Linked DNA regions of Arabidopsis thaliana. The protein of the gene in region 1 purifies or fractionates together with the protein of each later gene. This does not show direct contact. Each region holds a gene or a part of one and is shown in the gene's direction. Other genes may lie near its edges.

What was found. Proteins that work in one complex are often made in the same cells at the same time.
Region 2: the proteins of AT1G17960 (region 1) and AT5G02680 fractionate together in Arabidopsis thaliana (co-fractionation; one large-scale study listed by BioGRID). This does not show direct contact.

What each region holds. Positions count from the first base shown.
Region 1 is NC_003070.9:6,179,442-6,187,489, reverse strand, and holds AT1G17960 (Threonyl-tRNA synthetase), read left to right. Parts: upstream 1-3,683; 5' UTR 3,684-3,752; coding exon 3,753-3,883; intron 3,884-3,994; coding exon 3,995-4,295; intron 4,296-4,444; coding exon 4,445-4,517; intron 4,518-4,573; coding exon 4,574-4,668; intron 4,669-4,911; coding exon 4,912-4,944; intron 4,945-5,034; coding exon 5,035-5,121; intron 5,122-5,216; coding exon 5,217-5,309; intron 5,310-5,390; coding exon 5,391-5,483; intron 5,484-5,575; coding exon 5,576-5,794; intron 5,795-5,892; coding exon 5,893-5,964; intron 5,965-6,192; coding exon 6,193-6,264; intron 6,265-6,367; coding exon 6,368-6,475; 3' UTR 6,476-6,625; downstream 6,626-8,048. Other genes in the region: AT1G17970 (RING/U-box superfamily protein), read right to left, coding at 288-422, 512-646, 732-830, 1,155-1,319, 1,886-2,458.
Region 2 is NC_003076.8:602,482-610,482, forward strand, and holds AT5G02680 (methionine-tRNA ligase), read left to right. Parts: upstream 1-2,436; 5' UTR 2,437-2,535; intron 2,536-3,243; 5' UTR 3,244-3,433; intron 3,434-3,563; 5' UTR 3,564-3,583; coding exon 3,584-3,629; intron 3,630-3,740; coding exon 3,741-3,817; intron 3,818-3,915; coding exon 3,916-3,951; intron 3,952-4,125; coding exon 4,126-4,248; intron 4,249-4,708; exon of another isoform or gene 4,709-4,817; coding exon of another isoform or gene 4,818-4,940; exon of another isoform or gene 4,941-4,955; intron 4,956-5,110; exon of another isoform or gene 5,111-5,184; coding exon 5,185-5,273; intron 5,274-5,372; coding exon 5,373-5,403; 3' UTR 5,404-5,712; downstream 5,713-8,001. Other genes in the region: AT5G02670 (uncharacterized protein), read right to left, coding at 490-810, 932-1,102, 1,272-1,501, 1,639-1,765, 1,856-2,125; AT5G02690 (uncharacterized protein), read left to right, coding at 4,818-4,940; AT5G02700 (F-box/RNI-like superfamily protein), read right to left, coding at 6,900-7,202, 8,001-8,001.

The sequences.
Region 1 (8,048 bases):
ACGTTAAAACATTGATTCTTAGTTACGTGCGTGTATGCTATATGCTAAATTACTCTCTACCTGTCTTAAATCTACCTAGGCAACAGAAAACATAGATTTCAAACTCTTGATTTCAATCACATAAATAGACCCAACAAAGAATATAAGATCTTAAAAAAAAAAAATTGTGATTGCTAAATGCAAAAACAACAAATATGAATCAAGTATCAGATGATACAGATCTCTATACAGCAAGGTGGCTTGAAAGATCTTGAGCTATCAGAAACCCGACGAGATACAAAAGTCTTTTAAGGCTTGCCATATGCTGCCTTCTTACAGACCGGACAAGCATTCTTCCTCGAAAGCCATTGTTTCACGCAATGGACATGAAAGCTGTGTCCACAGTTCAATTCCCCAACCTCATCCTCTCTCTCATACTCATCCTGTCACCATCAAACAATAAGGAATAGCATTATGAAACTCATGATCTGTCTGAAGTTTCGAGAAGCCATTGACTCAATCTGGAGTTTACCTGACAGATGCTACATTTTCTATCAACAAGAGTATGTGATACGGATGGTTTGATTTTCCCAAGACAACGATGTATCTCGCTTTCTTTTAGTCCAGTATTCACATAACCAATTCTATCACCAAGCTCAAGAAGTTGCTGCGTAGACCAAAGCAAACACACTCGATAAAGTTGAGAAGATGAGATTGCAAGTGTTTTTCTCATGAGATTTTGAAAAACATACCTCGTATGACATGCTATCAACATCGAGCCTCAATTCGTGGTAGTTATCACGGGAATCTGTTATTCTTCCCATTACAAAACCATTCTGGAGCATCCTCATCTGCAGTGAACAGCAGGAACATGACTACACTAGCTGCATGGTTTAGTTCTTTAACTTGCTCACTTGCTATTAGCCATCCAAAACAGTTTTACAGCACCATACAGCACCAAAGAGAACGATTACATTATTTGTCTTCCACTCTATCAGTCACTAGAATATGTAAGAGACAACTCTAGAATAATCTCTTAGTTGATATGAAGCCAAGTGACAAGTCAAACCTTAACATAGTGTTGAGTGTGATCAGTTAATAAACTAAGAAGTCAAATCTATAACATTTACCAGATGCAAGAAAGACAAGGCAACTATTTGGCAAGAACATTCTACCTCGGTAAGATCATCAGGGTAAGAGCGTGGAAGATGGCCACGACATCTACTTGACAACATCGTTGGTTCAGCGCGTGATGATGTCACAAAAGTAGAATCAGAGTTGAAGATATCATGAGAATGAGTTTCTTGATTGAGAAACCGAATGGGAAGAACAGAAGAACCCTGCAGAACATTTGTAGCATTGTGTTATCATTTCTCAAACACTTAGACATGATGATAGATTCCTAATTTTCAAGTCCTCTGAAGCAATGCGTTTCTTTGATCAAAATAAATCCAACAACTCCCCTAACCAATTGAATCCAACCAAAAAGAAACTTAAACAATGCTAAGATTCCATCCTCTAGCTAAACGAGACAAAAGCATGATAAGATTCCATTCTCTAACCAAACCAGAGTTCGATTAGTTTATTGAGCATCAAACCCAAAAGAACCACCCGCACGTCAAACAAAGAAATTTTCTATATTATCCTCACATGAAACAAAAACTAATAATAGAGAACCGCTACATCTAAAGTAGACCCTTATGATTTGTCTAAACGAGAATCCAAACACATATATTAATAAACCAAACCAAACTAACAATGGCCCAGCAATTGGCATAGAGCTAACTACAACCACTAGAGCTCCAACCACTCCACACAGTTTCTGCCTAAACGATACCATTTCCTCAAAGTCAAAGTCAATAACATAATAACACTAAATTCATCATCCAACTTTAGATCAATTTACCAGTGTGTGATTATAATTGTTGTTATCCACATCAATTTTGCGACGAGACGACGGAATATTCCTTCCCCGAGGAGGATCAACCGATCGACCAATTACAGCATCCGTGGAGAAGCCTAATCCAGGTCTGCACCAAACATCAATAACGTCTCTAGCTTCTTCGCTTAAAATCCTAATCGAACCATCTTCGTAGCTTCCTTTATTCTTCTTTTTCTTTTTCTTATGCTTATGCTTCTTCTTCTTCTTATCTTTTCTAATTCTGGCATCCAAATCCGCGGAGTAGCGAATGACGGAGGGAACAGAAACCTCTTGAGCTGCTGCTGCTGCTGCGGCATAGCAACCCATCCCTCGAAACGACGACGTTTGGTACGGTTTCTTCCTCGTGCTTTCGTTGGAGGAGGAAGTCGGGAGGGGAAAGAAGGAAGACATTGCGGAGTTACAGAAGCGATTAGGTTGTGAAATCGGAAGAACGACGTGGCTTAGCGGCGGATCATCGTCGGCGGCGTGGAGATGACGGATTGTTTGGTTTCTAGCTCGTCGGAGTCTGATGTGCTCGCCGATTGTTGTAGAAGACATTCTCAAAGAAAGAAAGTAAAGGAGATAATGGAAATGTGGGAGAGAGAGAGCGAGACACAGTGCGCGGGGAAGGATGAAAGAGAGTGATTTCAAGCTTGATGATGATGATGATACAGTTTTTGTATAATGATTATAGCTTTTCCTATATAATACTATTAAAGATTTTTTAGTTTTTGTTTTTACATGCAACCATTAGTATGAGATTCCAAACAAAATCAGCTCATGCATATCTTTTGTGAATACTACCAAATTAGAAATAATGATTTTATAAGAGATATTGTTTAGGTTAATTTGAGTATTTCTCTGGGTTTTTAACTTTTTTTGGGCAATTTAGTTTAATGATTTTGCTTATTTTTGGTTTTTCTATTCCAGAAAAGTAAATTTTAAAATTTTTAAAATGATGCTTGCTTGTAAAAATAGGAAAGGTGTCAGTCACTACATGACTCTTTTAAGTCGAAACAATCTTGTTAAATAAATAAAAAGAGAGAGAGTGATTAGATATTATTTTGGTAGAGATAAAGAAGAGACACAAAGTCCAGCTGAAACATCCTACGATAAGCTTAAACATCAAAAGACCACTTCTTTGGTTGGTTTTAATATTTGAACAATCCTCGTATACATAAAGTTGGCACTCTTGAGCTTTGAAGACATCCAGCAAAGCCTTGATGGTTGATGCTCATCGCCACGAAGCCTGAACCGTTTTCCTTTCCAATATTACATTATTGTCTACCAGACCCGGTTCAACCAAATCGAACCCGACTACATTTTTGTAACACGAAACCATCCGAGAACGTTGCAAAACTGATTCTAGCTTCATCATTAATAGGCTTTTAAGAGCCCAAAACTACAAATAATAAGCCCACTTCAAACTGATTTTATAGCTTCCACATTAATAGGCCTAATAATGGTCATTTGGATATTATTGAGAATGCAACAAATATAAATGTGAAACATTAAATCAAAGAAAGTCACGCCAAAATAGGTTATATACATATACTTTTAATTTGCATTTTATCAACAAAACTACAATTCAATTGAAAAGAAATTATAAATATTGTAGAAAATTATTTAAATACAAAAGGAAATTATGTAAAGTTAGGTGCATCTGCCACTTGTTGTTATTACCTTATTACAAAAAATGAAAGGAAAAGCTCTAAAGCTTGGCCCGCAAGTCACTTTAGTGTTGTAGCTATAAAAGGGAAGTTGACCTTGGGATAATCTACTCCTCTGCTCTCAACGTCATCTTCTATATTCTATAGTTTCTATTTGTCCTTCGTTCTCTGCTCATCCATCGATGGCGAATAATCATCATCCCAAGGATGAGGCTTATCTCTCATCCGTCATCCCCAAGCGTATCAGGCTCTTCGAGGAAATCCAAGCCGAGCAGCTTGAGCAGCTTCAATCTCGGCCACACGATCCAATCAAGTAAATACGTTTATGATTAATTGTTCATCATTTTCACTAGGGTGCATCAATTTGTTTGCTAAGCTAGGGTTTTGCAATTAGTTGATTTCTGGTTTTTGTTTCACTGCTTAGGATTACTCTTCTCCCCGACGGTATCGAGAAAGAAGGAAGGAGATGGGAGACCTCTCCAATGGACATCGCAGTGCAGATTTCTAAGGGTTTAGCAAAATCTGCTCTGGTTTCTTCGGTTAATCATGTCTTGTGGGACATGAATAGGCCCCTGGAAGGTGATTGTTCCTTAGAGATTTTCGGATTTGACAGCGACCAAGGCCGTAATACTTTCTGGCATTCTAGCGCCCACATTCTAGGCCAGGCTCTCGAGCAGGAGTATGGATGCAAGCTATGTATTGGACCCTGCGAACCCAGAGATGAAGTAAGAGCTTTGTTCTGTGTTTTTTCCCCTTAATTATGTTTCTTTGGCTAAAAGAGTAAAAAAAGGAGGAGTCAATATTGTTTGGTTCTTGGTATTTCATCTGTAATGTTGCAAAGACGGGCTATCTCTGATGGTAATTGTTATTGCAGGGCTTCTATTACGATTCACTTTATTATGGCGAGCTGGGATTAAACGACAATCATTTTCCAAACATCGAAGCAAGTGTTGCATATATATCTTTTGCTGACATCTTTTTTGTTTTGCGGTATGGAATGTAGAATTACCCATTAGAATGGCCGAATTTGGAGTGTTACACCGAAATGAGGACAGTGGAGCACTTGGTGGAATGACCCGTGTCCGACGGTTTGTACAGGTATGTTTGCATCTTTCTGGACTTTTCTTGTGGTAAAATGTTTAAAACTTAAAAATTGATTGCTTTATATAAAGACTAGCGACATTCAAAATGATATCATGATTAGTTAAGCAGCTTATTTGCCATGTTGAAGTGAAGAAGTTACCCCTTTACTTTACTTTACTTAGTAGTTTGTCAATTTGATTTTAACCCTTTTGTGCGCGTGTTGCTTAATTAAATAACATTGTGCATACTTGTTTTCAGGATGATGCACACATATTCTGTAGAGTGGATCAGGTTTGTGATATTTGTTTCTTATGCAGCAACGTTGGAGCTCCTTATCCTCCCAGTTTCTTATTTTATAGAAATATTCTTATCTATTTGCAGGTTGAGGAAGAAGTGAAGGGTGTGTTGGATTTCATTGACTATGTTTACAGAATATTTGGGTTTACCTATGAACTAACGCTTTCAACGGTAGGATATTTTCACATTTCTTCTCTGCCAAACCTAATATACTTTGCATGGTATGGTCACGTATCTCATTGTTTGCATGTTGGTTTCGACTTCAGAGGCCAAAGGATCACATTGGAGATTTGGAAACATGGGCTAAAGCTGAAAATGATCTTGAAAAAGCTCTAGATGATTTTGGAAAGCCATGGGTTGTATGTGTCACTACTTTCTGATGCTTCTACTCAAAACTTTATAATTCATAGAGAGATTCTAAAGTGTGATGTTTTCTGAAGATAAAGGAAGGAGACGGTGCATTTTATGGCCCAAAGATAGACATAACAGTGTCTGATGCCAGGAATAGGAAATTCCAGTGTGCTACTATACAGGTTAGGCTCCCAAACTCTTTTTAGTTTTTTCCTCTGTTTTTTGTTCTTGATCTCTTACAATAAGATTTTGATCCTTATTTGCTTCGTACCAGCTTGATTTTCAACTTCCGGCTTGCTTCAAACTGAAATACCTAAGTGAAAAAAACGAAATGGAGGCACCTGTGATGATACATAGTGCGGTGTTGGGATCTATTGAGCGTATGTTTGCCATATTGTTGGAACATTACAAAGGAATTTGGCCCTTCTGGCTTAGTCCCCGCCAGGCCATAGTTTGCTCTCTTTCAGAGGATTGTAGTTCCTATGCCAAACAGGTTTTCTTACATTCTTTATTTATGAACCCTCACACCTGCAATTCTTGCAGTGCCTAATCTCTAAGCTTTTTGTTTCCTTTGCACGTACATTCAAACAGGTACAAAAACAGATTAATGAAGTCGGGTACTATGTTGATATTGATGAAAGTGACAGAAGCCTCCGTAAAAAGGTAAATTCTTATGATTACAAGCTTTCCAAATGTTTAGGTCTTTGAGCATATTATACAAGTGAGATTATTTAAGGCCATAAATTTTTATCTCGTAAAGGCTAGTTGTCTAAATTTCATTATAAAATAAAGTCGTTTTTTCTTGGTAGATATGAATGTATATATAGAAATTGCAAAGAAAATGCATAGTTATATGTGTTCACGAGTGTGATGATTTTGTTGTGTTTGTAGGTGGCAGATGCTCGGGATGCACCATACAACTACATACTGGTCGTAGGTCAAAAAGAGGTTGCAACTGGACAGGTTGAGTGTCTCACTTTTTTCTCATGATTCATATCTCTTTGACCATCGAGCTTCTCAAACATTGATTGATCTTTTTGTTTTGTTGGGACTGTAACATTTTCAGGTGACAGTTCGGCTCAGAGAGGACCCTGAAGGCCGTAAAGACTTGCCAGAGATGAGCATCGAAAGTTTGCTTGATGAATTCAAGTTCAAGACAGTCAACTTCCTCTGAGATCCGATGTTTATGGTTTAAAATTTCATTTTTCTGTTGATGATGAATGTATTTCTTTTATAATGGTCTTTTTCATTGTACCAAGACACATTTTGGAATAAAATGTACTATTGAAGTATAATCAACCAATTATCAAAATAAAATCTCGACTTTTGGGACAGTGTTATTTTTGGATTAAGACGCAATGTTTTCTTTGAATTCAAGTTTAATTCAAAGCCAACGAAAGATGTTATGATCTCATAATTGATTTTTTAACACCACTAATGAAAATTTTCAGTTGAATAATCATTTTATTTTCACAAACTTGTCTGAGTGTTTTTAAAAGATGCTATAAGTAAAAACAAGTCTTAATCCTATCTGCATTTGCATCTATCGGCACTTTATTGACTCTGTATGCTCGCTCTCTAAAGTCTTATCACTATTTTGATCTTTTATCATATCTATATCTGATAAATTTCAACTATTTTGAACAATTAATCAACTAGTCACCACTGAAAAATATTCAACGATTCGCGTCATTATTTTCATATGAAGTGATTCTAGGAAATATATACACACATCCAATCAGAAATTAATACATTCTTGTTCTAGTGGGTGTCTTAATCTTATCCAAAATTTGATTAATTCAACATCTTTGTACAATGATCAACGTTTCGTTTCATTATCTTCCATAATAAAATATGTATATACAGTTATGCTTATCTTTTTGGGTTGTTCTTTCGTATTGTCTTAAACAATAATAATCAAGGTGACATACATATCTAACTCAACGAGGAAACCCTAGCAATCATAATGACATCAGTTTCAGAAAAAAGTAAATTGAAAAGAAAAAGAAAACTCGATGATATAAATTCATATATTAATTTCGGATGGAGAATTGTATGGTTATAAGTCGTGTCAAGATGTGTGTTCTTCATCTCCACCTAAATAAAACGAACTATTTTATTCGTGTTTTCTTAAGCTAGACAAAGGTAGATTGCTACTTTTGATTGTATTTCTTGGTGGCTGATAACTACTCCCAACTTAATCATATCTATACTCCAACCTCGATTTCGTCTTTCCGTTATTAACTTATTATTATTCTTCACACAATTAAAGAAACTAAACCAAACTTTATTTTAGAAGTTAAAAGGCTCTCATAAATAAAACCACTAGTTTAAAAAAAAAAAAAACTTTTTCTTTTTTTGATATCATCATCACAAGTTATATGAGTCAAAATAGTCTGCATGAAATTATAATTAAGTAGTACTGTATTAAAAGGATGTTCATTTGGTGGTACATATATTTAGGCACCAATGACATATTTTCTTCGGTTAATAATCAAACCTTATAATATTTGATCTTCCTTAAGAACGCAACAACACAAAAATTATATCCGACGATTGCAAATTAAATTCCACAAAATATAAAATCTTGGTCTCAACTCTCAAGTCCTTCTATTACGATAATTTATAGATTAATCCGGATTCAGGACACAGAATTTTCTCAGTACATACGCATCTTGTAATTTAGACAATATATACCATAGTCCATAGCCAAAATGAGTATAAAGTGAAACTAGGCCAGTTTGGAA
Region 2 (8,001 bases), on another chromosome or scaffold:
TTTTTTACCATATTTGATTTGTGTTTGAGTGAGAGAGATATGTTCATTTTTCACTTTTTACAAACCAACAAGTTTAGAGTTACCAAATATTGATTTCTGACTCAAAAATAACTTGGTCTCTGTGAATGTGTGTTGTTTTTGCTGCTGGTTTGGATTAGTGCTCTTGCTATAGCTTTGAAAAGGTCTCGTTATGATGATCTTCACTGAAGTTACACGACTCTATAGCTAGCTTGGAACTATGCTTGAAACAGTTGATTTCATTTGTTGTTTAATCTCAAAACTATATCTATATATACATATATGAAGCTACGGATATTTGAAAACATATACAAAACACTAGGACCAACCTAACAAGTCTTTAGAGAGTCTGTCTCCACTGATCCAACCCTAGCTTCCACTGTTGAGATTCTTCAGAGAGAGTCTGTCTCCACTGATCCAACCCTAGCTTCCACTGTTGAGATTCTTCAGAGAGAGTCTGTCTCCACAGATTCAATGTCCGGAGCATTTCTGGTTCTGCGCTGTAATCCCCAGTAAAAGACAATAATGTGTGGCTGCTTTGTAATAGGTTTCTCTTAGTTCCCAGTTTCCACAATACATAGATATCTTCCCAGATTTCTCCAACCAACAGGTCTTTGTCACCTTCTTGCTTCTGTTGTTGCTAGCACACTCACCATTCTTAGGCAGCTGAGATGCTTTCAAAACCGATGACTGGATTCTGCCAACTGGTCCCTGGAAGCAGGAAGCTGTTGAGATTCTGCAGAGAGAGTCTGTCTCCACAGATTCAATGTCCGGAGCATTTCTGGTTCTGCGCTGTAATCCCCAGTAAAAGACAATAATGTGTGGCTGCTTTGTAATAGGTTTCTCTTAGTTCCCAGTTTCCACAACACATAGATATCTTCCCAGATTTCTCCAACCAACAGGTCTTTGTCACCTTCTTGCTTCTGTTGTTGCTAGCACACTCACCATTCTTAGGCAGCTGAGATGCTTTCAAAACCGATGACTGGATTCTGCCAACTGGTCCCTGGAAGCAGGAAGCTGTTGAGATTCTGCAGAGAGAGTCTGTCTCCACAGATTCAGTGTCCGGAACATTTATGGTTCTGAGCTGAAATCCCCAGTAAAAGACAATAACATTTGGCTGCTTTGTAATAGGTTTCTTTTAGTTCCCAGTTTCCACAACACATAGATATCTTCTCAGATTCTCCAACAGGTCTTGTCACCTTTGTAATAGGTTTCTTTTAGTTCCCAGTTTCCACAACACATAGATATCTTACCAGAATCTCCAAGCAACAGGTCTTTGTCACCTTCTTGCTTCTGTTGTTGCTAGCACACTCACAATTCTTAGGTAGCTGAGATGCTTTCAAAACCGATAACTGGATTCTACCAACTGGTCCCAGGAAGCTTCCATTGTTGAGATTCAGTGAGGTGTAATCCCCAGTAAAAGACAATAATGTGTGGCTGCTTTGCTCTGATGGGTTTGGATCACAAAAATGCCATAGACTTCCTGTATTTCAATAACATGTGGAACAAAGCAAAGGCTACAGTCACAGACTATGAGACAGAACACAGAAGATTTCGTATCCCCAAAGAGTTGAACCAAAAGATGGGAAGTGGGTAACTTGATCAGAAGACAACGGAAACGTGACTTAACCCAACCACTGAGATGTTCCTGATTAGCAGCCGAGAGGTGTACATGTGTTTGCATACGGATAGAGCTCAAACAAAATTCTTCATTCTCTGCAGAAGCCTGAGATGTTCTCCACGCAACCTGCATCATCTGTTGCAATTTCCAATAAGCTAGTTAGCCTCTGTGAAGCATTATGTCGAATAGGTGATATGCAACATTTTTGTTCTTGACACTTGGTGACCTCCTCATAGTAATCCGAGCCAATTCCGATGTGGGTTTTTCTTCGTGGTGAATAAAGAACCTATCAATGCCAAAACCAGAGAGTAAATCATCAAAAATTAGGACATGTGATTGTGACTGTAATCGAAATCCAATGGTGAAGAAAACAAGTCCACGATGCTCCTTGAAAGATCGAATTCTCAATCTTCTGTTGTTGGAGAACACAAATCTGTCGCTAAGGTCAAAGCTTTTTCCTCCTCCTTCGATTGCTGTTCTAGACATGATGAATCAGAGTCTGTAATCGTTACTTTCTGTGGCTAGGAGCAGCGAATCCTGACCGTTGGATTGGTTTTTCTTTTTCTTTTTAATGTCCGTGATATTATTGTCTGAAGAAGAAAGAGAGACCAGTTTTGACTTTTGACTTCGAGTAATGAGAAGAAAAAGCACAGTGAGATTGCTGTTCTTGACGTTGAGTCAGAGTCTGTGGCTAGGAGCAGCTTCTTTTGTTTTTTGAATCGACAATGGTTGAGGAATAAACGAAATCCTGACCGTTGGATTTTTTCTTTTCTTTTCTTCTACTTAATAATGTCCGTGATATTATTATTGTCTAAAGGGGAGACCCGAGAAAGAGCGAGACCAGTTTTGACTTTTTGGACATTGTGTGTTTTCGATTCGATCTTTTTTTTCTGAAGGTATGCTTTTGAATTCGATTTTTTTTTTTTTTTCTCGAGATCTTTGCTTCGTGGTGTTTCCTTTGGACTTCGTTTGGTGATATTTCTGGGTTTCGTCTTTTGACGTTTTTTTTTTCTTCTCGATGAAATGTTTACTCAGCTGCCAAATTTCTCTGTTTGATATTGAGTGAGAGAGATTTGTTACTTTTTACAAAATCAACTAGTTTTAGGTTACCAAATTTGGTTTCGGTTTCGATGCTTAAACAATAACTTGGTGTAGTCGGTCTCTGTATGAATGTGTGTGTGTGTTGTTTTTGCTGCTGATTTGGATCTGTGCTTTTGTTATAGCGTTGAAAATGCCTCGTTATGATGACCTTTGAACACGGACTCGTTATATGCTAATTTGGAACTTTGCTTGAAACAGTTGATTTTTATCTGGATTTACATTTGATGTTTTATGCTTTTATCTCAAAACTCTGTATATATGAAGCTACGGATATTTGACCTCTGATATCCTATTTTGAAGTCTCAGCCTTGAGTGCACCACCTGCATGAGGATGTCATGAGATTTTTTTTTTTAGTGGTTTTTGAATCTTGTAACTACTAGTTGTTTTGGAGAAATTATGAGATTGTTCCTAAAATGTTTGGTAGCCCTTGTAATAAAGGTGTCAGCTTTGCTCTTGGGAAATGTTTTCGTTGGTCTTAGATGTTGGTAAATGCATGTTGCAGTTAACAATGCTGGTACTATCAATAAGAACACCAAGATTTGGGAAGTCTCTGCTGAAGATTTTGACAATGTCATCATGGTTAAAGGAGTAGCAAATGTGGCTGCGCCATTTTATCCCTTTGATGTTCCCACGGAAGCAAGAAATTACTGTAAATATGTCTTCTGGATGGTGGAAGATCTGGTGCTGCCCTGGTGAGTTTCATTGTGACTGTAATCCCCTTCATAGCCTGAAACCTCTACTCTGGTGCTGCCCTTGAAGACTTTGCCTTTGTCGTAAGTACTTCCACTTCATAGCCTGAAACCTCTACTCTTTCTTTTCCAGTGTGACTGTGATCCCCATGGATGTCTCTGTCCTTGAGGATCTTATCAGATAGAACACACAAAAAAGGTCTGTTTGGTTCTTGTCTTTTCTGAAGCTATATCCTCAAGGTCTTCTTAAGAAAGGTTTATCTTTTGTGAATTTGATTGTTTTCAACTGCTCATTTTTTTGTTTGTGCAGGTGATGGTTCCTTCTACGTGGCTTGGCACTGGGGAAAATTGGACACTGATGAAGACAATCAGAAAACTACGAAGACGGTCAGTTGATGTTTCACCATAGCTGAGTGTTTCTGTTTGATTTGCTTTTTTCTTCCATTTCTAGAAAATGAGGACATGTGTTTTGTATGGGTTTTCAGGAAAGTTCTCCAAGAGTTAAGGTGTTGGAGTGTTTGGTAATGAAGTAATAGATACAAATATACCTGTCCAAGTATGGAGATACTACTTGCTGACCAACAGGCCTGAAGTAACTGATCGCTGCCTTCTAGGTGTTTCTTCGTTCATCATAGGCATGCATAAACGTGTAAATGTCACCAACACTGGTTTGCTCTGGGGACTCTGCCTTCTAGGTGTCTGACACATTGTTTCCATGGAATGATTTGCAAGCAAAACTGAATGGCGAGTTTCTGAACAACCTAGGCAACTCTGTTAATCGAGCTCTGAGTTTTATAGCAAAGCACATGATAATGCAGGTTGGTTATACTTACTTTCAAATTCAATATTTTTAAGTATTTGGTGTTACCTGTAGATGGCTTTTTAGTTTGGCATATCCAAAAGAAAATATGGGATCTGTTGTATTCTTTTATTCAAACCAGCCAGTTGGTGTGTGCAAGTGAGAGATATTTGAATCGCAGGACATCAGACTATTGTAAAATGTTTGCTTGCGATTTTTGGTTTTCAATCTTTTTTTTGAACAAATAGGTAATTTAAAAACTTGAAAATGATAGAAAGGTGCATCTGGCTTGCAAGAGTCTTTACTATTATGATTATCCTGCTAAAGCTAATGTAACGCTCTCTGATAAGATTCCTCTCTTTGTAAGCTTATATGGACATGGAACGATTAACTGATAGAACATATAAAGATCGTTATACATGTATATGTATATCTGTTCATTCATACACTCTAGTGGATGGTCAAATGTTTGCATTTGGGATAGCATAAATGATCAAATTCTCTTAGAAACAGTTGAGTAATGTTATATGAATCTTGGCGTGGTATGGCTATCTGAGTTTCTGTGCCTGCTTTTTTAGGTTCATAGTAATGTTATATGTTGGGGTCTTAAAGGGTTTATCGATTCTCTTTTCATCGTTGTGTCACATGTATGATTCATCTGGGTCTCTACTTCAAGCAAAGCAAAGACGACGATTCTTCCGGATCCTTTAAAACCAAAGAACTATGGTAAGAGATTTTCCTACTGAAATTGCTTTTAGAAGAACTGCTGCTGGTTTAGTACACCTCTTGTGAGGTCGGTTTGATTGTTTATTTCGAAAATTTTGTTTCTATTTATTTCTAGAATGCCAAGTGTGATTAAAGCTGTCTATTGCATTTTGTAGGTATTTAAGCAGCAAGTAAACCATGGTAGATAACTATGGCAAGACTTGATATTCTATTAGGTAAAATTGTGAAGGCTGAGAAACATCCTAAGGCAAATGCATTGTATGTAGAAGAAATTGATATTGGGGGTGGTGAAATTAATTACCGCTTGAGGAAATGCAGGTTTGTCCAATCAGTCTAGTCATGTGTTTTCTTCCCAATATCATTATCAGTATGTAATCCCTTCTACATTCCAATTGATCTACTGTTGTTTCTGAACAGAACCGTATGGTTTCTGTTCTTTGTAACTTGAAGCCGGCTACAAATGAGGGATATTGTGTTACAAGCAATGGTTCTTGCAGCTTCCAGTAGTGAGGAAAGCAAGGTAGAGTTCACAGGACAGGAGTATCTGAACTGTTTGTAGTTCCGCTATGTTCATTTCGATTGTATAGCAAATTGTTCTTTGCTGGAAACCCTGAATCTGCTAGTATTGGAAAGCGAGTTACATTCAGCTTTTAGCAACCATACAATTTGAGATTTTAATTCTTTTGTGTCGAACTAATTGATGTTTGTCTTCAATTTTTTTTAACTCTTCTGACTGTAATAACAAAGACAGTTGGTCGGGATATAGGAGAAGACAGGGTGGAGAGAGAGCTGATGGGCTTAATTATCTCTCACAACTTCTAGATGGGCTTTCATAAGTTAAAAGCCCATTATGATTTAGTTGGGCTATCAACGTAAACTGAATTGTGATTAGAAAAAAAAAGGAAAAAGATAAACCGAATAATTATGTATGACGTATATGCCGTTGATTTGGAATACTGTATGCAAATCCTGACCGTTACATGTTTAATAATTATGTATAACGTATGCCCTTGTTTTATCGAACGTTAGATTTTTCCTCTGATAAGAGTGTGCAAGGCACGTGACGACCGAAGAGAAAGTCATGTTGGATATTGTATGTCACATGCATGAGGATCCAGTCGCCATGAGACTGAGATTAGGGAGATTAGATTCTAAGGGATATATATGTGAGCAAAGATTCTAATCTCATTTGTTCTTTTGTTGATTCATTGATTTCTTTTATTTTTCTTTGTTGTTCATTGATACAATTGTTTGATTTGATCGTCGATAACCGATAATAATTAAGAGATATTTGAGTTTTAAAAAGCTTATCACACTCATTTGCCAATTATATTCTAATTGCCGTCAGTTCAATGCAAAGGTAAATACCAAATTGGTTTCATCATGCTAGTGAATAGTGTCGATGGAGAATGTTAACACTGGTTATTGATCAACAGTAAAATACAGATCTAGCTGTTGCTGCATATAAGTTTTAAGTACTTATCTTATTGCATCGTAGGTTTCAGTTTAGTTACGATACTGCTTAGTTTCAACAATTCAATGCTTGAGATTTTGATTGTAATGATTAGTTAGACAGAAATTTATATTATGAATGTGTATTAAAATTTTAGTCTAAAGGCTTGACTAGTAAGTATGTCAGATTAATAAGTGAATTATGAAATTACGTAGTCAATAGAGGGACAACAATTTTAAGCTAAAAGATATTAATTTTGTTTAAAACCGAAAAAAAATATCTATTATTCTATTGATGAATGGAATTTTTAAATTTTGGTTTAATTTTAAAACGTGCATGGTAAACTGAAAATTCACTTGGTACGTATTTTTTACGTACTATTATTTAACACAAGTTTTAAGAAAATGTATGTATTTAGCGGAATCACATTTTCAAAACGTAGAAAACTGCATAACATTCAAGGCTAAATAACACAATACAATGTAGTATTTTTAGCAATTGCTTTGTTTGAGCAAAATGGAGACATTATTGTTGCGAGAAAGTGTTTCAACCATGTCAAACAGCTCTTCTTCAAACCATGGTGCATCACCATTAAAGTAGATGCCTCCCAACCAAACAACCATCCTCTCTAGCGTCTTTGCGTTTCTCAGCACCAAATCCATAAACGAAGCCACGAGTTTCAACGTTGCATCATTACAACCCAACATCTTGTAGATCTCCTTTGAGGTAGGAAACACCTCACATGTTGATCTCCAACATTGATCCGGATATAAACCTTTTAAATGATGCATTTTCTGTAGAACATAAAAAATTATCCTATAGAGAATAAGCTCATCTCCAATATATTTTTCAATTAGAGTAACTCAAAAATATAGTAGAGTTTTTTTTTTTTCTTCAATGTACCACTCTATTTTTTTATTTTTATTTTAAAGTGCAAAAAATAGAGTTACTCTAAATGTAAAGCAAACATATATTTTACTCTATTTTAGAATGGAGTTGTAAAGAATTTTGCTATGTAATAAAGTTTAGGGAAAAAGTAGAGTAGACTTGGAGATATACCCTTGGTAAAAATATCAATCCTATATCCCAACGAAAGTGAAAGACATGTGGTTCATGGAATGTTCCTAGTGCGTTATTAGTATGCATGGTCTTATATATAAATCGACAAGGAAATAAAAGAGGTAAAAATACCATTATGTCGTGGCTTAGCTGCAATGTGTGTAATGTTAGAGCATCTCCATTGGTGCATCTTAGCCCATATCTTAGCTTAGTATCTTAGGTGTAAACATTTAAAATTAAATCAAAAATGATTAGAATGCTAAGAAGTGAATCTTAGTTAAGATGTTTTATGTGTGTTAAGAAGTGTAGACATGTTGCAATATGAGTGGTTGAAAGTAAAGACAAAACCAAACAAAAGTAAAAATTCACCTCTGTGTATTTAGCTAAGATACCAAAAAGACAAAACTTATATTCTTAACCATTGGATGTAATACATGCTAAGATACTTTCTTATTTTCTTAACTCACAAAAAAACAAAAATTTATTCTAAAATATTGGTAAGATTCAAGATTAAGAATCAATTGTATCTTAACC